Lonchura striata: one gene and its partner. The protein of the gene in region 1 purifies or fractionates together with the protein of each later gene. This does not show direct contact. Links are inferred from orthologs where the notes say so. Each region holds a gene or a part of one and is shown in the gene's direction. Other genes may lie near its edges. The genes, in order: UQCRFS1 and LYRM7.

The links.
Region 2: the proteins of UQCRFS1 (region 1) and LYRM7 purify together in Homo sapiens (co-immunoprecipitation; 5 studies listed by BioGRID and IntAct, with this or other methods). This does not show direct contact. The link is inferred for Lonchura striata from reciprocal best matches to the Homo sapiens genes UQCRFS1 and LYRM7.

Annotation. Positions count from the first base shown.
Region 1 is NC_134615.1:9,624,102-9,635,496, forward strand, and holds UQCRFS1 (cytochrome b-c1 complex subunit Rieske, mitochondrial), read left to right. Parts: upstream 1-7,073; 5' UTR 7,074-7,111; coding exon 7,112-7,322; intron 7,323-9,666; coding exon 9,667-10,277; 3' UTR 10,278-10,440; downstream 10,441-11,395.
Region 2 is NC_134642.1:7,053,588-7,064,944, forward strand, and holds the start of LYRM7 (complex III assembly factor LYRM7), read left to right. Parts: upstream 1-6,230; 5' UTR 6,231-6,265; coding exon 6,266-6,283; intron 6,284-6,301; exon of another isoform or gene 6,302-6,545; intron 6,546-7,610; exon of another isoform or gene 7,611-7,692; intron 7,693-7,864; exon of another isoform or gene 7,865-7,881; intron 7,882-8,142; coding exon 8,143-8,215; intron 8,216-8,819; coding exon 8,820-8,890; intron 8,891-11,299; coding exon 11,300-11,357. Other genes in the region: adenosine 5'-monophosphoramidase HINT1, read right to left, coding at 1,643-1,753.

The DNA of each region.
Region 1 (11,395 bases):
GAAAGGCCATACAGGCCTCCTTATTCTAGCTAATGTAATTATTGTTTAATGATAACAATTTATAGCTTAATAAGACACACAGAGTTACCACTGACAGCAATGCAGGTTCCTTTTAACAGGGGACAAAATTATATCAATGCATTTACATAAGCACTGCAAAAATCACCCTTCTTGTACCTTTCTTCTCAGACAACCCCTCACCAACATCATTAAACTAATCCACATACCTGGCTCAAGAAAAGTAAAAACCCTCCGCAATTAGCTATTTCCTCTGAATGAGCTTTAAACCATAATCTGCATTTTCATTCCCATCAACTTCCTTTGCTAAATACACAGGGATATGTGTTTCAATAACTGAAATCAGTGCATTTGCTCTAGACTGCACTGCTAAGTTCAGATTAGTTGTTTATTTAACTGAACAAGCATTCCACAGCAATTTGAAAGAACCAAGATTATCACCTGACATCCCTGAGATTGACCCACAGAGAGATACACACAACTGTTTGGAAAAGTTAATTTGGGCAAATTGAGAAAAACGTTTACACATTGAGTGACTCAGGAAGAACTTTCTACTTAGATGGGCAGGGGCTTTGTATGACAAAATTACTATTTCCTGCTGAAAATCTCATATTGAAAACCCCAGTATCCCCCTACCTATTTAACACACACAGTGCATCATTATACTTTGATCACCCACCACATATCTAGATCTTCTTTCTTCTCCTATCACTTTGGATGAAAAATCTGTAATTTGTAATAGAAACATTTGGTGTGAATCTTTAAACATTCTTGAATTTCATAATACTAAGTTTCATCCTAACTTTAAAAAAGTTTTCTGATTCTTTCCATATTTTATTCTGATTTCTCCCTCAGTAAAGAACGCTTTGTAAGTCTGCCTCAGCAGATTTCATTAGTATATGTCTACTTCTTGCACCAAGGGTCACTAAAAGTATGAAAATATGAAATATAACCAATCTAAAAACTTGGAGTAACTCCACTGGGAGCCATTAGGAGCAGCCTCAGTAGCATAATTATTCTCATAACTAAGCAAAAAAGAGAGGAAAAGGCTTTTATTTATTCTTATATATAAAAGAACAGAAAATAAAGGTTCCACATTAAAAAAAAAAAAAGATGATAAAAAAAATCTTTTGCATTATAGGCAAGTTTCCACAAGCTACTGTCAAAGTAGGTGTTTAAAAATAGCCTTAAGAGTATTTAGGTGATGATGACAGTGGGCAATTAATTAGCTCAATGCAAGCACAGGTTACCCTTATCACACCCAGGGCTCAAGCTGCAGTGTGTGAGCAGGCCCAGCTCTGATGTCAGCACAGTGTTTTTGAACTGCTGTTGTCCCCTGCAGCAATGCAGCTCAGAGTGATGCAGGAACGCACACTGCAACGTCACAGGCTCTTGGAGAATCAGCTCCTACCTTTCAACTGCAGCATCGAGACAGGCAAAGGCTACAGGCAAAGCCTCTTCACAGCAATTCCGAGGGGGAGGAAAGGGAGAAAGTTATGACAAGGGGACACTTTCATTGCATTAGCTCTTAATGGCGTGGCTCTGGATTGCCAACAGCTCCAAGAATTACAAACGAGTTCTTCTTTTGCCATTATCTGCTTTATGCTGGTTTAAAGGCAGTTTGAAGCCAAGGTTCTGCAACCTTGCTTCACAGAAAAGCTTACAGGAGGGCATAACAACGGTCAAGATCTTCACTGTACACCATAAAATTGAGACAAAATTATTTCCTTTGTCACTTCTTAAATGTCACCCTCCTTTTTCTGCCACTTCACTGAGGTTTCATAGGGGCATATCTACACACACAGTAGCAGGTGAGATTTTGCTTTGCATCAAGCAGCAAGCTTAGCTCTGGTGCTACTATTCACCGCCCTACTTCTGCTTTGTAGTCCTAGGAAGTTGGTTATTTTGAAAAAAAAACAATAATTTATGGTCCTCTGAAACATTACAAATATTCTATTTCTGTAAGCTTTGTGCTTAACTGCGCAACTGTGAGAGGTTTGCTATCAATCTCAGAAGAGTGAGTTTTTACAGCATGTACAGCTAAAGCTTTAAACAACACTTGGGGTTTCAGCAACCAAAGGCAGGGCAGAGACATTCAGCACACTGGGAAGTGGCAGTAACTCCTAATCCCTTCCTATGCACAGCTAAGGGGAGAATTTCTTTTTCCCAGCCCACAAACATTGTCAGCTGGGCACCAGACACAAATGGAATTCTCCAAATGCATTCATTGCAAGAAATACATAAGCAAAGCAAAAGAAGCCAGGATTCTCCTTTGTTCAGCCTTTCAGATTTTAGTCAGAGATGGTCATAAAGTTGAAAAGTTTTGTTTCCATCTCCAGGAACCATAAAAGCAAACAATATATAATAGTGGAAGCCAGATAGGAGTCAAACACATGCCCTTCAAGAAATGTCAGGGATTTTTCATGAAATGTAAGGGAGAAAACAAGAGGAAGGGTGAAAATACTCTCCCTGAAACTGACATTTTGATGATGCTCCAGGCAATTTCATTTAGGCTTTAGCTGCTGCCTTGCTGAGCTGCCTTTGATGCTGCCCCAGGCAGTTCTCATCTAGCCTTTGGCTTCTGCTTGGTCAGACACCTTTTGGTGCCATTTCTGATTTGCGTGAGCAGCTCTTATCAATTTCACATATTTGTGACTCTTTTTGCCCATTCTACAATTATGTAAATCTTTGATGTAATCTTAGATTTTAGGCTTGGTCTTTTTAATTTTATTTCCTTCAATTTTTTTTCTTTCCTCTCTAAAACTGACTCAGAAAATCCCATTCTTTCTGCCCAAGGGAATGCTTCACGTGCTTGCTTTGAGATTTTTTATAATGCAGATTAGAGAAGTATACTTTCTTTGTGTGTATCTCTTATTTGAGTATTTTATACACAAAATGTTGAGTGCAAGTCTGTCAGAAACAGATATTCAATACCCTTCTACTCCAGGCAATTTATCTTGGCCTTATTGAGCAGGGCTGTAAGAGATCTACAATAAGATGGCTGCTGAGGCTGTGAACACCTGCTGATCACCCCTGCATTCATAGAAAGAGTAGTAAAAAGCTGACAGCAGATCTCTTCTTCCCTCATGATACTTGAACTTAGTTTTTCCTTGACTGAAAAAGACCTGAATTTAGATTAGACTGTTGCACAGAGGTGTCATCATTTCAACTAACTTGAATAGCAGGAAAGAAATGTTTGACCAATCAAATATTCCTAGATTTTTTTTCCTCATTTTTACTGTCCATTTTCATTCCTCACATTTCATATATATTCCTTTAGATCACACCCTGTGACTTTTCAAAGCAATAGACCAACTTCAAAGAACATTCAAAGAAAGTCTAACTATTAAAGGGTCTCCATAATTTTAACCTTAAACAAACTGTATTGCATACATAAATCTATCTTCAGATTTATATGCCACTTCCACAGTGCCACACCACAAGACTAAAATCATTGCAATGGATATTAATTCTGCAAAGGAACCACTGCAGACATTTGGAGATGCTCTCAGAGTAGGGTGTACTTATCTAAACAGATGATGCATAATGACTGCTCCACTAACAATGCTCCACAGGTACAGTTTGGTGGTTTGTTTGTTCTCTCTGGTTTTTTTATTTCTGAAGAAGTTTATTCACAGAGAAAAAAAATTGATCAACAATTCAAATCCAAGAAGTAAACGTAAACCCTGAATTCTCAAGTTTAGTAGCACTGAGTTTTCAGGACATAAAAATGATGCAAGATGGCAAAGAACTCAAAGATAACTTTCTGGTGAGATCAAATTCCCTGGGGTGACCAACATTTTAGCAAAAAGCCATCCAAGTTCTGCAGTTTATCTCTAAGGAAAACAAACATGAGAATGAATTCTACATGGAGAAAGGCACTGCACATACCCAAAAGCATTACCATACTTTTCATCTACTTCATAATGCTGCAGCCCTGACATCTTATAGCTTTTGTATTCATGCAAATGAACTTTTAACTTTAGGAGGACAGAACATTAAGCAGCATAAATTTACATGAGGCTAATGCTTGTACGAATGCACAAAAACAATCACAGAGATCTGTTTGGATGATTTACACAATGTCATGCTGGCATTTTACTTTCATGTTTGGCTGGAAAATGCTCAGTACTGATGCTCAGTAATACAAGGTGAACAACACTTCCCAAAGAAACACCTACACACCAGAATTTGCTTAGTCATTTTATAATTATTATTTTTTTGAGCTCTGATATCAGAATGTAGTTCCTTTTTGCTGCAATATTTTAATATTTTATTTCTGTTCTAACCACACTGGAATTTGAATTCAGATTTAAGTCTTTAAAAAATCTACAACCATTCTTTCCCAAATAATCATAGAATGAACATTAAGGAATTGGAAAGGATCTTAAAGATGACCTTGTCCCATCCTCCCCTGCCATGGTCAGGGACACCTCCCACTAGACCAGGTTGCTCCAAGCTCCTTCCAGCCTGGCCTTGGACATTTCAAGGCTTGAAGCATCCACAGACTCCCTGGAAAACCTCTTTTGGTGTCTCACCATTCTCACAATAGGGAATTTCTTCCTGGTATCTAACCTGTATTTCCCCTCTTTCAATTCATGCCCATTTCTCCTTGTCCTGTAACTACTGTTCCATCACAGTACCTCATTTTGTCAAAAAGCTCCACAAGTAGCAAGCACATTTTGCCAACATCTCTGAGAATGCCCCCCCCCCCCCCCCAGTCAGAATAATATACTGTTTGGGATGAGGCCATATCTGCCAAACAGCTGAGCCAGGTTAGCAAACTCAAAACTTGCATCATTGCCAAAACTCAGAATCCTTAAAAAAATTCCACCCAAAAAAAACCCCAACAAAAACCCCCAAATGCCACACTTGTTAACAAACCCTTCTATAAATATTAGCTGAAATCCTCACTTTCATGGTGAACCACAAAATGTCTCCTTTAGCTCTACCAGCACTTGTTCAGCTGGGATCAGATCTTTCATGGGAGCTCGTTGTGGTCTCACAGGGAGAAGCAGAAGGGCAGGAACAGCTCTTTTCACTCTCAGGACCAGAGAGAGGACTTGAGGAAATGGCTGGGAGCTGACTCAAGGGAGGTTTAGATTGGAGAGCAGGAAAAAGTGGGCAGCCCAAAGTGTGGCAGGGCACTGGAACAGGCTCCTCAGGGTGGTGGCACAGCTCCAAGGCTGGCTGAGCTCAACAAGTGTTTGGACAACCCCGAGGCACACAGTGAGTGAGACTCTGGGGCTGTCCTGGGCAGGAGCAGGAGTTGGGCTTGCTGATCCTGATGGGTCCCTTCCAATTCAGCACATTCTGATTCCATGATAATAATTTTATAATCTGTTAGGTAATTGAAAATATCACACCTCTGTAGCTCCTTTTCTCCTAAATTATGATTATAAAACGTGTGCTGTTAAAATGGCCTTCCCATTTTCTACCCTCTCTACCTGGATAGTTTATTCCCACCCATATATTGACTGATAGCCCCCAGAGTTTATACAAATTACTTTTGCTCAAGAATATTATTGTGGTGTCCTTTAATTACTGCATCACCAGTGACTACAGTTACCAACAGTACAGTGAACTGAGTTGGGTAAATCATTATCTACTGAGGCTTAGATGTCACAAACGTGCTGGGAAAGAAATAAATTATAGATCAATAGTACTGGGACTGAAATGATCCATCCCACTTAATTAGAGCTACCATATTTCAGTACAGTTAACAGTTAAAAAGAAAATGAAAAAATCAACCCCTTAAATAAATCTTAATAAGGTCAGTCCTTAAACTACCATTCTACAAAGATGGGGGAGGTTTTAATGCACAATCATAAAATAATTTAGCAGCAATATCATTAGCAAGATCTGAATTTCAAAAGAATAGTTCTCCATACAGCCAGTATAAACCACTAAAGCTTCACAGCTGAGTAGCTGGGAAATTGTTGTTAGGTTTCTAGAGGATGGTTCAGCCTAAATTTTTTCAAACATATCTCTGTGTCAAGTTTATCCTGCATTTTGGGGGATTTTCAGGAGCTTGAACTGGTTAAAATGGTTGACTGGAGCAGGTAGGCATCCACCAGTGTGTTCACCTATACCAAACTAAATCTTACCATTGGAAGCCATAACAAGCCGAGCATAAAACTGCTATTATTAAGTAAAATAAATTTAAGGGGAAAAAAATTCCATAATTAAAAGTAACTACAAAAAAACTCAACAGATATTTGCTCCAGTCATTAGTGGAAGAGTGGTTCTCTCCTTTAGCCCAAAGAGTTATATCTATATGAAGTATTTATGTGAAATATTTACTGTCCCCTTGCAATTAACCCCCAGCCCCAGAACAGCCCCTAGAGTGGATGTGGTTGTTGTCAAACACACTTTGCATCCTCAAACTGTAAGTAAAACCTAACCCTCAACCAATTTATGACAAAGTAAAAAAATTAGGTTTTGCCCCTATTTGAAACTGGTCCAGGACTACCAAGAAAAAAAAAATTAAATTAGTAAACTAAGGAAAAGAGGAAAAAAAGAAACAAAAAGGACCAAAAATCACGCAGTGCAAAATAAATAGAGTAACAAAGAGCAGGTATTATCCTAGGAGCGACACAGTTCTAAGTATTGTTACCACACAGCTCAAAATCACACCCTAAGAATAGCAGGCAAAACCCACGTTAAGCCCTCCAAGGCGCCCTGGGGTCGCGTTGCTGTGTTTAGCAGGGTCCTGTCCCGCAGGAGAGGCGCGGGAGCCCGGCGTGTCCAGAGCGCCTCACGAACCCCTCCTGCAAGGTCCCGCTGCCATTTAACCCGGCAGCACCGCGGGGACAGGGCTGCGGCACACGGCCGCACGGAACACCCCGAGGAGACTGGAAAAAAAAGAAAAATAGAAGGGGTAAAAGGTGGGGGAAAGGGGAAAAAATAAAAATAAAAATAAAAAAACACCGAGGCAACAAGGCTAGGCAGCGCTGTATTGCGCCCGCTCCCCTCAGGGCGCCCCGCTCCGCGCCTGCGTCACCGCCGCGCGCCGGCGCGTGACGTCACGCCGCGCGAGCCCGCGGTGACGCCGGGGCCGCGCCGGCTGGAAGGTCGCCGCGGGGACGCCGCCATGCTGTCCGTGGCCGCCCGCGCCGGGCCGTTCGCGCCCTTCGTGTCCGCCGCCGCGCACGCCGTGCCCGGCCCGCTCCGCCCGCTCGCCCCGGCCGCCGCGCACCGGGACCACAAGGTGCCGCTGGACGTGAAGCGGCCTCTGCTCTGCCGGGAGTCCCTGAGCGGCCGCGCCGCCCGCGGGGGTCTCGTCGCCAGCGCCAGCCTGAACGGTGCGGGCCGGGGGAGCGGCGGGGCGGGCCGGAGCGGCACCGGGACTGCCGCGGGCTCAGCGGGGCCCTGCCGGCGCTCCCGGGCACCGCCCGGCCCGGCCCGGCCCGGCGGGCGGGGGAGCCGAGCCGGGAGGGGACAGCAGGCGGGCGGGCTGCGGGGGCTGGGGCCGATCGGGGTTCTTAAATGCTTGGTTCTGTTGTCACCGGTGTAATTGGCACCCACTTACAGCTGCAGAGCTCGTTCAAGGGCACCTGAATGCCAGCTTCCTTCAATGACTGAGCGGGGCAGGCTGCAGGGACCGCAGTGTGTCACCTCTGCCCAAGTAGGGTCAGCCCCGAGCACAGCACTGTGTCCGGGCGGGTCGGGATGTCCCCGGGGTATCCAGGGATATTGAGGGGGACAGCTCAGTGATTTTTATTTTACTGCTGAGGAAATGCAGCTAAATCCTGTCATTCGGGAAGGCTTTTATACGCGGACACAGGAACAGAGGGGTGCAGTGAGAGCACACCGTGTGTTTTACCCAGGTGGGGAAAGCATCGGCCAGGGAGTAACGCCGAGGTGTTCTTCAGAGCCCGACCTCTGCCCGAAGGGCTGTGGCTGGCACTGCAGCTCCTGGAGGGCTGCTGCCCAGCTGTGCAGCTCTCACTGCAGCTCCTGGAGGGCTGCTGCCCAGCTGTGCAGCTCTCACTGCAGCTCCTGGAGGGCTGCTGCCCAGCTGTGCTGCTCTCACTGCAGCTCCTGGAGGGCTGCTGCCCAGCTGTGCAGCTCTCACTGCAGCTCCTGGAGGGCTGCTGCCCAGCTGTGCAGCTCTCACTGCAGCTCCTGGAGGGCTGCTGCCCAGCTGTGCAGCTCTCACTGCAGCTCCTGGAGGGCTGCTGCCCAGCTGTGCAGCTCTCACTGCAGCTCTTGGAGGGCTGCTGCCCAGCTGTGCTGCTCTCACTGCAGCTCCTGGAGGGCTGCTGCCCAGCTCTGTAACTCTCAGTGCAGCTGCTGCCCAGCTCTGCAGCTGTCTCTGATGGAATGTTCTACCTCAGCTGGTGCAGAGTGCACACGTTTAATTCTGGGAGGGCAGTGCCGTGCTGAAGATGCTCTGTAGCAATTAGACTGTACTTCATCTGACCCTCAGCTGTAAAGGGTTTGTTCAGGTGAAAATTCTACAAATCTGGAACTGACATGGCTGACATTTAGCTGTGCTCTACATTTTAATTAACATCAAACATGCTTTTCACTGAGTATAGCAGACTTTTTAGAAGTTAGTCATATTACATGTTACTATTGCTTTAAGTCTATACTGAAATAACTTAATATGGAGCACTATCTCAGAATTTTGATTTTTGGTTTAATTTCTTTGCAGTTAAAAGCCTATAGCAATTACTTTCTCAATGCTGAGTTTCTTCTAAGTAAATATAGTTATTATCCTCATTGTACTGCATATAAATCCCTGAGAGCTTAAGTACTTTGAGACATCTGTTAACTTTGTGCCAACTGACAGAAAATATAAAGACTAAATAATACTCTTCAAGTAACAGGTTGTACTTTGGCAAGTAATTTGTTCTGTCTTTGCCATGTTCTTTTCTTTGGCTTATAGATTTTCAGTGGAGGACACAGCTTTCTTTTGCTGGAGAAACGCATGGGAGACCTTTTAGTTATCCTTCATATCCTGTTATTTGAGCACACGGGTTTGATGGGGGAATCCCACTTGAAATAGAACAGTTAGCCCTAAATCTTTTAAAAAGCGAGCCTGGGGTCTGGAGGTGTAAAATTATTTCCTGTGGCTTTTAGCTGGGACAACAATTTAATATAAAAGAGGTTGCCTGGTATTTTTAATGATAAAAATGCTTAACCACACACTTAATATTATTGCAGGCGTAGAAGTTACTTCAGACAAATAATAGAACAAAAATTACACTGCAGATGTGCAAACTTCACTACATCAGATTTCTTCTTAGTAGCTCTTTACAAGAAACATTTGAATAGAAAACAGGTCTGTCTTTTCTAGTCATGGTATCCTACTGGAGCATTTTCTTGACATTTACTGAAAAAACAGTTCACTTTTTTTCCCAGAAGCCCAGAACTTCTGACAGATTTTCTGCACCCTGATCAGGTTTCTTTTTCAAAGAATAGGAAACCAGTTTCACAGATCACCTTTGGTGTACCAAAAATTCTCTTTGAAAACCATCTTCATACAACATAAAATTAAAATGCTTAATTAATGGAATCCTACCCAGACTTTGGAATAACTTTTACCCATTATTCCAAACCTGCCACTAAAACAGTATAATTTCAAATGCATGCCAGTGTTTTACCTGGACGTGGTGTCACCTGCTGTCCTTTTCCATGCAGCCCCCGCTGGCGTGCGCTGTGTCCACAACGATGTCACGGTGCCCGACTTCTCTGCCTACCGCCGCCAGGACGTGCAGGATGCCAGCGCCTCTTCCCAAGGCAGCAGCAACTCCAGGAAAGGCTTCTCCTACCTGATGACTGCAGCGACAGGTGTGGCAACTGCCTACGTTGCCAAGAATGTTGTCACCCAGTTTATTTCCAGCCTGAGTGCCTCTGCTGACGTGCTGGCCTTGTCAAAGATTGAGATCAAGCTGTCTGACATTCCAGAAGGCAAGAACATGGCTTTCAAGTGGAGAGGGAAGCCCCTTTTTGTGCGTCACAGAACCCAGGCAGAAATTAGTCAGGAGGCTGGAGTTGATGTGTCTCAACTGAGGGATCCGCAGCACGACTTAGACAGAGTGAAGAAGCCCGAGTGGGTGATCCTGGTGGGCGTGTGCACTCACCTGGGCTGCGTCCCCATCGCCAACGCCGGGGATTTTGGCGGGTACTACTGCCCCTGCCACGGCTCCCACTATGACGCCTCTGGCAGGATCAGGAAAGGCCCTGCTCCCCTAAACCTCGAGGTCCCAGTTTACCAGTTCATTGGGGATGACACGGTGGTGGTCGGCTGAGAGACGAGGTGCCTGCTCACTTCCATGTTCCTGGGAATAATGTTCACCAGAAGGGTTAACTGAGGCATACTGTAAAACCTGAAATTAGCTATCTAGATTCTCAAGCAGAACTATGCTTGAATACTCTGTTTGATTTCAATAAAAACTTGGAGTGAGCACTTGTTCCTGACTTAAAATAAAGTGTCTTTCTTTATGTACACATTTCTAGTGTGTCCAGCCAAGGAGATGCTACAGCAGACCCAGAACACAGAGCCCTTCTGAAGGGCTGCTGATTCAAGGCATTGAGCTACAAAGCCACAAAGAGATGTTTCAGCCAGCATTGTTCCTGCCAATATAGCATAGAGCTGGTGTTTCACTGCATGCAGAACAGGAGGAGAAACAAGGTTTGCTATTTCTAGAACAAAGCCAAAAGACACCAGTAATCCTGTACTTTGTGTTTCCTTCCCGTTCTTTACCACTGGTATGAAAATACTTCTGCACTGCACTGATGTGCTCCCTCAGTTGTAGAATAAAAACTAAAATCCTCAGAAACTACAGAAAAGTCTGAAAGAATTTTCAAGATGCAAATAATAAAAGCTTACTCACAATAAACTAGTAAAAAAATCAGATTGCTACAATTAAACAGTATTAACCAGAGACTACAGTGTGGTCTGACATAATACTGTTCTGTGGATATAGTGAGGGAGAGTTCTGTCTGATACCACTTTCACAATAGAGGTTGTCATTCATTTCAGTGACTGTCACAATCTAGCAAGTAGCAGTCAGTAAAAATTGAAAACCATTGTGTGCAGCCTGTTTGGTGAACAACTGACATCCTTTGTGCATGCAGATATTTCTGAAGTACAATTTTCTTTGTGCTTCATGAAAAGAAAAGATTGCTCTCTCCCTCTCTTCAAATGGATCTAGACAGCATAAAGCTGCTGTAGCTGAAGCAAAGGGACAAGTAAAGAAAGGTTCAGGCAGGTGAAGTTAAAGCCAATCCTGCATAAAGACACAGATTCTGACTTGGATCTCGTAAAGCCCACCCAGAGGAGCCCTTCATGACTGCCAAGGAGCCAGGGGTAGGTGGGTGGTTACAGTGGACACTTGAGCCATGGTGCAACATTCCATTAACTCCC
Region 2 (11,357 bases), on another chromosome or scaffold:
TGGTAGTGACTGGTTTTGTCACAGACAGTGGATACTTAAAAACACACACCTAGATTCTTCAAAATGCTTATTTCCTAGATACTTTTCTTTGTGAATCAATGAAGTTAATCTTTGCAACAATACTGCTTTTTTTAATATGAGAAGAAATGTGGTTTTGTCAACAGTAAAGTTGGTGAAAAGCCCAAACTCAACGTGCATCAATCTTTTATGCAGCTTATATTTTATATATCAAATCTATCTGATTTTAAAGTATCTTTAAGAAGGTAATGCCCACTTTTGAATTTCTGATGAACTGATCATTTCTTCCAAACAGGGAAGGGCTATAAGTGTATAACTGATGAATAAAACTAATTGCACCCCTTTAAATAAATCATACTTAGAGCTGGCCATTTTACAAGCAGCTTTCCTATTATATATAGTCCCAGAGAGGAAGAATGCAAATGACCAAACTGCATCCAAGAATTTAAAGAGCAAAAGATTGGAAGTAAATAGTTTTCAATGGTACAGAAAGCAGAAGTAGCAATAAGGGAAAAGCACAATCACAGAAATTCATGAGTGCATGGGAAACCAAACCTCATTTCAGGAAGTTTAGATGGTGATAAGGCATAATTCTACAGAGACTTTGCACTTTTCAGTATTTCCGTTTCTCTGAAGGTCAATTATTGATTAAAGGCCTTCCTTACCCTTCTCCTTTTAGCACTTCCAGCCACCTCTAAAAAGACCTCCATAAAGTCAACAATGTTAATTCAAGATCGCCCACCAATCAACTGAAACCTAGAAATTCTACATTTCTGTGCACTTTGAAGTAAAAACCAAGTGATGTACTGTAGGTAATGACTTTTCCAGAAATACACCAGCTACACAAATAGCTGCCAAAGTGGGCTCAGCGAAGTCAATGGCCTGATTCCTAAATCAAACAGTACCCAGCTTACTCTGCTGCAACCACCGCAGCTGAGGAAAAACTCACAGATGTTTGACTCCCGTAAAGAAAGATCACACACCCTCACATAAACACAGAGCAGTAACAAAGGCATGACTTTAGGAAAGCAGGCAACATTTTCAATATTCTTCAGAGCATATGGCAACTGTAACAATCTGCCATCTATTAAGGAAACAGTTTCAAGCTATGCATGATTTTTAAGCACATAAATCTGACAAACTGCATCCTAGAGAGTCTGTATTGTACACTGAGAATAATCCCTTATTTCAAAAGCAAAGGCCCCTGTAAATACGGGGGGGGGAAAGTGCAGGAGATCTTATACGAAGTACGAGTTAGTTTACATTTTGGGAATGTCCACTGCATTTCATCTAAATGATTTCGTTTCGGCCCGAACATGCAGTGATGCACCAGCAATCGCTCTCGAGGTTCACTGCCAAAGCCCAGCAGGCAGAGCTGCATCATCTTTGTAAAAGAGGCACATCGGGACCTGCACAAGCCGGGTGCTCTGCTCGGAAGCCGCAAGAAGGCTGCCTGGAAGTGGTAAAGGTTTCACGAGTACCCTCCCACAGCAGCTGCGAGAACCCGCGACCCTTGGCAAGGAGCCGGATGCAGCTCCAGGGACGGTGCAGGGAAGCCGCACCGCCCGCCCCGCCGCGCTCCCGAGCGCCTCCGCGGCGCCCCCGGCCCCCGCACAGCCCGCACCTGCTCGTCCTCGAAGATGATGTTGGCGGGGATCTCCTTGCGGATGATCTTCCCGAAGATGGTGTCCCCGCCGGGCCGCGCCGCCTGCGCCTTGCTGATCTCGTCAGCCATGGCGGCGGCTCCCGCCGGCGCTCAGCCCCGCCTTCCCCCGCGGCCACGCCCCCCGGCGCTCATTGGGCCAGCGCCGGCGGCTGGCCGTGCCCGCCCGTCTGATTGGCGGTTTCGCCTGTCATTGTCCCGCTGGTCCCGCCCACCGCGCTGGCGCGCCCTCGCTGACCCGGGAACCGCGGAGGGATCCATGGGGAGGAGCCATGGCCGGCTGCGCGCAGGGATCAAGGAAAGGTGATCTGCAGTGGCAGCGTAGTCCCGGGAGAGGCTGTTGTGGGCAGAATTACTGCTTATCAAATCCAAATGAAATATCTGTGTGATTTCTTGGGACGAGCTCCTGCAGACTGCACCAGGCTGGGCTGCGTTAGCTTTTCCACCAGAGTTTGCAGGTGTTTGGTGCCCCTGGAATCGCGGTCCTGCAGAGGGGCAGTTTGACTTGCCAGCCCTTCTGCACATAAGTGATTTCGTAAGCATAAAACAAACCAATCAATATGGCCAAGCAATAATTCACAGAGGGCAGCACGAAGTTACACAGCTATACATCTAGTTGTAAATGCTTTTTTAATATATCTACGACATCAGTCATTAAATAGAAGAAATTAAAAAGCAGGGGTTAAAAACCAACACAAAACTTGAAGAGTAACAAGGAAGCTTCATTTTCATGCAGTTTAACAAGGCCAAGTACGAGGTCCTGCACCGGGGTCACCCCTGCTGTCAGCGCAGGCTGGGAGATTGAGAACAGACCTTGGGAGGCTTTGGAGATGCTCATGGGTGGGAGGCTGGACATGACCCAGCCATGGGCACTCCCAGCCCAGAAAGCCAAACGTGTCCTGGGCTGTATCCAGAGCAGCGTGGGCAGCAGGGGAGGGAGGGGATTCTGCCCCTCTGCTCTGCTCTGCTGAGAGCCCACCCGGAACCCTGCATCAGCCCTGGGGTCCCAGCACAGGGAGGACATGGAACTGCTGGAGTGAGTCCAGAGGAGGCCACAAAAATGATCAGAGTGACAGAGCACCTTTTCTATGAGAACAGTTGAGAGAATTGGAATTGCTCACCCTTGAAAAGACTTCAGGATGACCTAATTGCAGCTTTGCAGTACCTGAAGCACCCTACAAGAAAAATGGAGGAAGGTTTTTTTACAAGGGTATGTAGTGACAGAACATAGAGGAATGGCTTGACACTGCAAGATTGGAGGTTTAAATTGGATGTGAGGAAGAAATTATTTACTGTGAGCATGGTGAAACACTGAACAGGCTGCCCAGAGAAGTTGTGGGTGCTCAGTCCCTGGAATTGTTCAAGGCCAGGCAGGATGGAGTTCTGAGCAACCTGGTCTAGTGAAAGGTGTCCCTGCCCATCATAGGGGCATTGGAACTAGATAACCTTTAATGTCCTTTCCAACCCAGACCATTCCAGATTCTATGATTTTCTAAGCTTTACAAATAAAATACATTGATTTTCCTGAGGATTTATCTAGGAGGATATTAATAGAGACATTTTTATATATTTGTCTCTAGACTAAAATGTTACAGGAAAGCATTTTGGAGAGAGTCAGGGAATCAGTACTGCTAGAGTGCATTAACCTAATATGGTTTCCTCAGCGGATTACCTGAACATGTTAGAAAAAGAGCAGAATTTGTCATATGTTTCTGTAACTCTGAAATAGTTTATCATTAAATACCCTGAAAAAAAAAACTCTGGTAAAGCACATTAGACAATGAATTTTTATTCTCTTCCTTAATGATGTTCTGGATTAATATATTTTGACATGTATATGTCCTATAGATGATAGTGGAGCTTTATAACAATTAAAATAAGTACTTCAGGGACAAATTTCTTTGAATTATATTGTTGTCTAACCAAGGTTATCCAGCAAATATATTATTAATTTGGGCAAACGCTGCTGTGGAGTTAGTTAGAAAGTATATTTCTATGTTAAGAGAAGACATAAAGAGACAAGTTTAGAAGTTTCTCTAAAAAGCAAAAACATCTTTTTTCATATAGTTAACTTCAGCATATATTTTTGTCTCACCATGTAAACAGCAACTTTTATATTATTTTGAATAAAACAATTAATTAATTAGATCCTCTTTTCAAAGGGTCTCATTCATTCATTCACATCTGCAATAATTATTTGTGCAACTAAATTATAAATAAGCATCACTTCTGCTAACAGATCAAATTTCTTTAGGAGTTACATAGTAAAAATAAGTATTTAATAGATGCTTACAAGTAAGTATTAATAATAAAAATATTTAAATTATTGAGTAAAAGTTTAGTGTTCCCATAGTTCAATTAGCTTACAATGTAATTGCAGTTAAACAATTAAATGGGCTGTATTGAAGCTAGAGGTGTAGTGACCAGTAAAGCTGCTTACACAGAAAATCCTTATGCTGCCTTTAGCTAATGCTGAACGATGTGTTAGTGAACTAGAAGCTTGTTTGGTTTTCAAGAGAATGGCAATTCAGGTTTATAGATATGGCCATGATGTGGCCAGGCCAAGGCTGGGTTGGTCAGGGTGTGAGTAAGGCAAGCCAGGGCTGTGGGGAACTTGGTGTGAGCAGCCAAGAAAGTGACCTGACTAGAGAGGAGAAATGACTGAACAAAAAAAAAAAAAAAAAAAAAAAAAAAAAAAAAAAAAAAAAAAAAAAAAAAAAAAAAACCCAAAAAAAAAAAAAACCTGTTGGATAACACCAGCAGAAAAAAAGCCTGCCAGCTTGGCAGCTGTGATCCTGGGAACTAAAAATGTCCTTGAAAAGCGCAGCCTTTTCTAAGTGCAGTTTAATACCTAGAGACTGGAGAGGTCCTGAGATACTACTGATAAGCACAGAAACAAGGAATTGTAACCACAACTTTTCTTCTGAAGTGGTGAAAAAATAGTCTGGGAAAGAAGGTGGCATCCCAGATAAGGAAGGATTCCAAACTGCCGTTGGCTGATCTAACTGCAAGAGCAAGGAAACAGTCTGGCAAAATAAAAACTGATTTGAAGAAGCAGCAAATATCATCATTTATTGGCCATTCTAGATATCTCACAGAAACTGATGTGTGAAAAATTCATATTTTATGATTGGCTTTTTGCAAATGTTACAATGAATATTATATGTTTAATGTTAGAAAGTTATGCTGTGTTAATTCTCTAAAGTAGTGTGTTAAATGTAGTTTTAGATTACATCATACTGTTAAAATAGAAATTCTGTGATATAGAATTTGTTACAAGCTCAAGCAGGAAGATGAGATAATCAAGAAACTCTTCACACAGAGATGGCAGTGAAGGGGGCCCATGAAAAGTTACTGCCTTCTTATCAGAAAAGACAAACATTCTTCCACCTACTCTCCAACTTTTTGGAACCACCAGGATTAAGGAGAAGAAGTTGACAAAAACCAGAATTAATTTGCAAGGAATTGATGTATCATGTATGAGATATATGCATATGCAACAGGCTATTGCTTTTAAGGCTATTCCTTTGTTCACAAGTCATGCTTTTCGTGACTTAGTGTCTGAGAACACCCGGACATCCCTAATTCTTTGCTTTTTATTGTCTTGTAATTGTCCTAACTCTAAATTTTATTACGCTAATTGTATTATTATTTTATAATCATTTTATTATTATTAAACTTTTAGAAATTTTAAAAACCAAGTGATCGGCATTTTTCACTACAGCCAAGAAGGCCAATGGGATCCTGGGGTGCGTTAGGAAGAGCACTGCCAGCAGGTTGAGGGAGGTGATCCTGACCCTCTGCTCAGCCCTGGTGAGGCACATCTGGAGTTCTGTGTCCAGTTCTGGGCTCCTCAGGACAAGGAGAGACATGGAGCTCCTGGAGTGGGTCCAGTGGAGGCAGCGGAGATGGGACTGGAGCATCTCTCTTTCGAGGAGAGGTTGTGGGAGCTGGGCCTCTAAAGAATAGTTAAAGCCACGTGTGGAAAATGGGACAAAATGCAAAATACGTTAATCTGTTAGTGGGCTATGTTAGAGTAAATGACCCTTTATTTATCGCCTTTGGGGAACCTCATCACTCTATCTTCAGAAATCTGAAGGAAAGGCGTCAGAGGAGGGATCCAGGCTCTTCTCAGTGATGCCCAGCAACAGGACGAGGGGCAGTGGGCAGCAAGCGATGCACAGGAAGTTTCTGTGAACACGAGGAAGAAATTCTGAACTTGTTCACTGTGCGGGCGAGCGGGCACAGCAGCAGATTGTCCAGGAAAGTGGCGAAGTCTTCCCCAGTGGGGATGGAACCGCCTGGATACAGTCGTGTGCCATGTGCTTTGGCTTTGGGCAGGGACGCTGGACCCGATGCGCCACTGTGGTCCGTTCCAGGCAGAGCTGGAATTCCGTGCCGTGAGCCCGTGAAAGCCGCGCCAGCCCCGCGGCGGCGGGGCGGCGGAACTCAGGCTGCCCGGAACGGCGGCGGCGGGCAGCCCCCGGGGGGGACAGCATTGGCGGAGGCACCGGCGGCAGCGCGGGAGGGTGCGGCTCGTCCCGGAGGGGCACTTCCGGTGCGACACTTCCGGCGGCGGGAGCCATGGGGAGCCGCGGGCAGGCGAGTGACACTCACACATAAACACATATAAACACACACATAAACACATATACACACTCATACACACGTATTCTGTGCTTGGGGGGGGGGGGTCGCAGCTGTGTAGCTTTTGTAGAGCCACAAGACACAGACTTTCAGGATAAGAAGGATAAAAAACTAGGTAAAAGAAAGTAGCGGTTTGCACGCAAAGGCCGTTGCGGGAAAAGCAAGCGAGAAGATGCGATAGGCAGATTAAAATGCATCAAGAGCACGTCTCGTGAGGGTAAGATAGGGAAGAACAAGGAGCTAAGAATTAATAAGGCCTTCCATTGCTAGGGTGTAATTTCCCTGGTTTTGGTGTACAGTCAGCAGGTGTTGGTGGGGCCCTCTGTGAAAGCAAGTGGCTGTACAGGTCAGAGGTGTCTGCATTAATGCGTCTTGATCAAAACCATCTCATACAGCTTTTCACCACTGTGGCCGGTGTGGTGAAAAGTTTCCTGAGCTCTGCTAGGCTGTGGCCACTTCCCTGGTCACCCTCAGGGTGAAGAACCTTCCCCTGAGTGGCATCAGTGTCCCCTGACACAACTTCAGGCCATTTGCTTGGATCCTGTCACTGCATACCAGAGGTAAAATTGGTGCTTGCTCCTCCTCCTCCCCTTGTGAGGAAGCTGTAGGCTGCTGTAAGGGTAGGAGGATGCCTGGAAATGGCTCATCAGATTGTTCAAAATAGCAATAAAAAAACTTAAAGTTTTAACATACATGTGTGTTTAACATAAAACCACTTGTAATATTACTTGGCTATTTACAAAGATGCCAAATACACTGTGGGGCAGCAAAATTTTAGGATATTAAAATACCTGTAAAACCTTTGTTGTGTTTTAATTCTGTGAGTTTACTTTCCACAGGTTCATCCATCTAGGGAATGGTGCAGTTAAAGCAACATGGCTCTGTTCATTTGCTGGGTTACAGCCCTGTGTTTCCTCTATGTCCTTCTGAAAAATATTTGGAATACTAATTGTGAGAGAACAATTTGAGATTATTATGAAGTGCCTAGAATTGTGCCCTCTAGAGATGCCAAAATGGTAGGAAGTACTGGAAGGAGCTTCAAAAGGCATGTTGTTATCAAGATTATGTTTCTCTGGTGTTTGTCAGAGACTTTTCAGTCTGGCAAACACCAAAAAGGTCTCATAAGGGTTTGAGCATTTCTGTGATTCATTGCAGTCTGTATGAATGATCAAAACCACAAGACTGTGAGCTGTGATTCTCCGGGGGTTTGCTTTTCATACGTGTTCAGGGGTGTCTTCTGTACACTGTAAATCCTAACTTTGGGTGTTTGCTTTTACTGAAGTGTTCATTTCCTGACCTGGCAGTTGCATTTAAGAAAAGGACTTTGCATTGGTTCTGCTGCACCACTTGCAGAAGATTTTTATGTGAGCATACTTCAGTTGTTTCTTTTTCTGTCTTCTTTCAATAGCTAGAGAATATGCACTGTTGTAACCTTGATAATTCCTTCAGGTAACTTGGCTTTTAGAGTTATTCCAGTTCTTCTGGGTGTATTTGACATTGGCACAATAAATAATGCTCGTGTCCATGTAATTTCAGGATTGTATTCCCATCCTGCCAAATAATTACTTAGGATTGTGGTGCCAGCATCTTAGGGCAATTTGAAATACCTAGACCTGTCTAAGATTTTGATGACATCACATCTGCTTTGGCTGCAAGTGTTTCAATGAGAAATTTAGGTAAAGCCTCTTAGATATTGATTCTGTATCAAATTCTGTACTGAATGGAAGTAACAAGAAATTTCAACCGAAATATTTTCATTTTAACTAACACTCCTGCTAGCAAATAAGTTAATTATATTGATGTTGTATTGGCAGGTTTTGAAGCTTTTTAAGTTGTTACACAGAACACGGCAAGAAGTTTTTAAAAATGATAACAAAGCCCTCGAAGGTGAGATACTTGTTTTGTGGGGTGTGTGCATACCTATATTTTGTGGAACTTTCTTCTTGGAGTACAGAGAAGGATAATTCTTAACATAATCTTTCTTCAAGTTACTCCCATAATTTTCAAGTAATAATTAGGAAAACTTGTATGTCCCTAACCAGATATTCTTTAATTTGAAACAGAAAAATGGTTCTTAAATTCAAGCACCCACATATTTTGGAAGAGTAACATATCTTTTTCAAATGTTCCTGATCTTCCTGGGAGATAGATGTCTTTTGTGTTTTTAACTTCTCTTCAGTCCAGCCACAGCATGGTTAGCTGTACTAATTAATTCTCTATGTATGGTTTTTCCTCACGGAATGAATCCTGCTTTTTTTAGACCTTGTGTATGCAGTACAGAATGCTAAATTTGGAATCTTATTTCATTTGTATATCAGTCAACTTAAAATGTGACATCATGTGAATTACATGGAGATCTTACATTGAAATACTTTGATCAGAGTGCCCCAGGAATGTGCCATAAAGAGCTTAAGATTCTTAACTTTGGGGCAGTGACAAATTCAAAATAAAATTTTTGTTCATACTTTGGTTTTTTGTTTACTTTATTTAGCAGCAAGACAAAAGATAAATGAAGAATTCAGAAATAACCGAGACGAGGCATCTGAAGAGAAGATTAATGAGGTATTTTATTGCTTTCTCTTGCTTGTAAGAATATTTAGAAATTTGTTTTTTACTTAAAGGATCTCTAAACCACTGTACACACATTGAGACATCATAAAAGCTGGATTGGTTTAGAAAGACTTCTACATGGATCTTTGTTCATAAACATATAATGTATTAATACTGTCTTTACAATGGTATTGATACTGTCTTACAGAATTTTGTACATACAAAAATACATAAGTAGAAAGTGTGTTCTGATAGTTCAGTGTGATTTTTTTGAAGTTTATAATAGAATTATATGAGAAAATATTTAAAGTTGCAGTTGTTATGTAAATATTCTATGCTTTGCTCATACTACCTATCTGCAGTGTGGTCACTTAAATTTACCTGCTCACTGTTGTTTAGGTAAACAGAAACAAACAGAGAAATTACTCTGCTCAGTTACTAACAGATCACAAATGACTCAGCATCTTTGTGGAAGGCAAAAAACAGCAACATTATTAGGATTAATTGTAGTATAGTATAGCTGTAGTATATATTAATTATAATACAGGGATTTTTTGCTTCTTCTTTCCTCATCATGCATTAAAAGTAAAGCATTCTGTTAATTCACTAAGTTCATTACCTTTGCATAATTGTTGCCTCAACACTTCTTGCTGAGTAATTTTTTTCTAAAAGTTACTGTAAACTGAAACAGAACTTCTGTATTTAGATAATTTTAGTTATTAACATCGCTACAGAGTGATCAATTTAGTCCTTGTCATCAGCCTTTTATCAGAGTGTATTTACATTGTCACTGGGCACTGGTTGGAAGAAAGTGCCTATGTGTGTCCCTTGAAGAAATAAAATTAAAACATTTCCTGATATCAGCCACTGAACAGTAATGTAAATAATTCTGACAATTTAGTTAGGAGTTCCTAATTTCAGCTTGTTATCAGTCTCCTGTAGTAATACTCATTGCTTGTGTTACCACTGTCTGATCAGCTAAGTTATGAGTTCAAGGTTGTTTTTTTTAATAGATGTACAGGAAAAATATTTGATGCAATTCTGAAATCTCTATTTGTTTTCTAGGCAACCTGCAAATTTCACATATGTGGCTTTTTAATATGGATTAGTTGATATTTGATTAACTGTGTTGGTGAAAGGAATACTAGACTTCCATTCCAGCTACACACTCCTAGGACATCACAGATGTTTATTACATGTACACACTGATTGGACTTGGTTGCAGAGGAACTGAATGAAGTTTTATATAGGACTTGAGGAAGTTTGAGCACTTGCTTGCATTAATGTGGTGCTGTTAGTGTTCTGCTTTGGACAGCAACTAAAAATGGAGTATTGACCAGCCAGAATAGAAAACTACGAGTGCATTCTAACATGACAACAAGTACTTGTATCTATATGTACTTGTACATGTCAAGCTTGGTGACATAAGGAGATCAGGTATGAGAATGAGAAATATGATAGCTGAATCTAATGCACCTGTGATTTGTCTTGCTATGTAAAATGTCAGACAAACAAGCAGAATTCCCTTAAGGTCAACCTGAAGAGGAAGCTGTGCTGCAGGAGCATGCAGCCTGGGTGCCTTCAGCAGGAGGAACTGGAGGGTACCTGCTCGAAGCTCTTACAAGGGAGGAGCATGAGAAGTGCAGTGTAGATGGCAAGCACTGAGCTCTAGACTTTGCAAAGATCCACTTCTGTTGATATGTGCCACTTCCTAGTGTGAGCGTGTCTCCTGAAACATCTCACTTGAGCAATTCTATTTATTTCTGATACAGGAATCATGCAAACAAGTATTAGACTTCTCTTAATGGCTTAGCAAAGCTAGCAAGGGTGCTGCAGCTTATCCTCTTAGTGAGAGAAGGAATTCCAGGCCTTTTGCCAAATACTAATACTTTGGGTAGTCTGTAGGTAGTGCCTTGTTTTTCTGCACAGTTCTACTGTGAAACCTCAGTATTCTTAATTCTTGTCTTATTTTGCCCTTGTTTTTGTCTCCTTATTTCAGGAGCAGTAGTGTTGAAAGAATGAGATTGCAATTTCACTATGAGAAGTCAAAGGTTATTGGGGTGTGAGTGGGTGTCTTTGATCATCGAAAACTAGTTAATTAGTTTTATAGTTGCATTTCAACTTACTCATTTGCAGTTTTAATTTTTTTTAATTACATACATAGATGTATGTACTCGTGTATGTTACTGAGCCAGTGTTTCCCTCACTATGTGCTCCATGTCAAGGTCACTTACATGTCAATCTGTAAGTTATTCCACGATCCCCAAGGCAAAAGCAATGCATACATAGTACATAAGTAACTGAGTAGTATAACAGAATGACTTTATTATTTGAATAGTTGTCTAGTATGGAAAATAGCTTCAGAAATAGTCACATGGAATTTAAATTACTCTTGTTTCTCTCTTCTTACTCTTTTACTAGCTTCTTAAAATAGCTTCAGATGTTGAAGTGATTCTCAGAACTTCTGTTATTCAGGCGG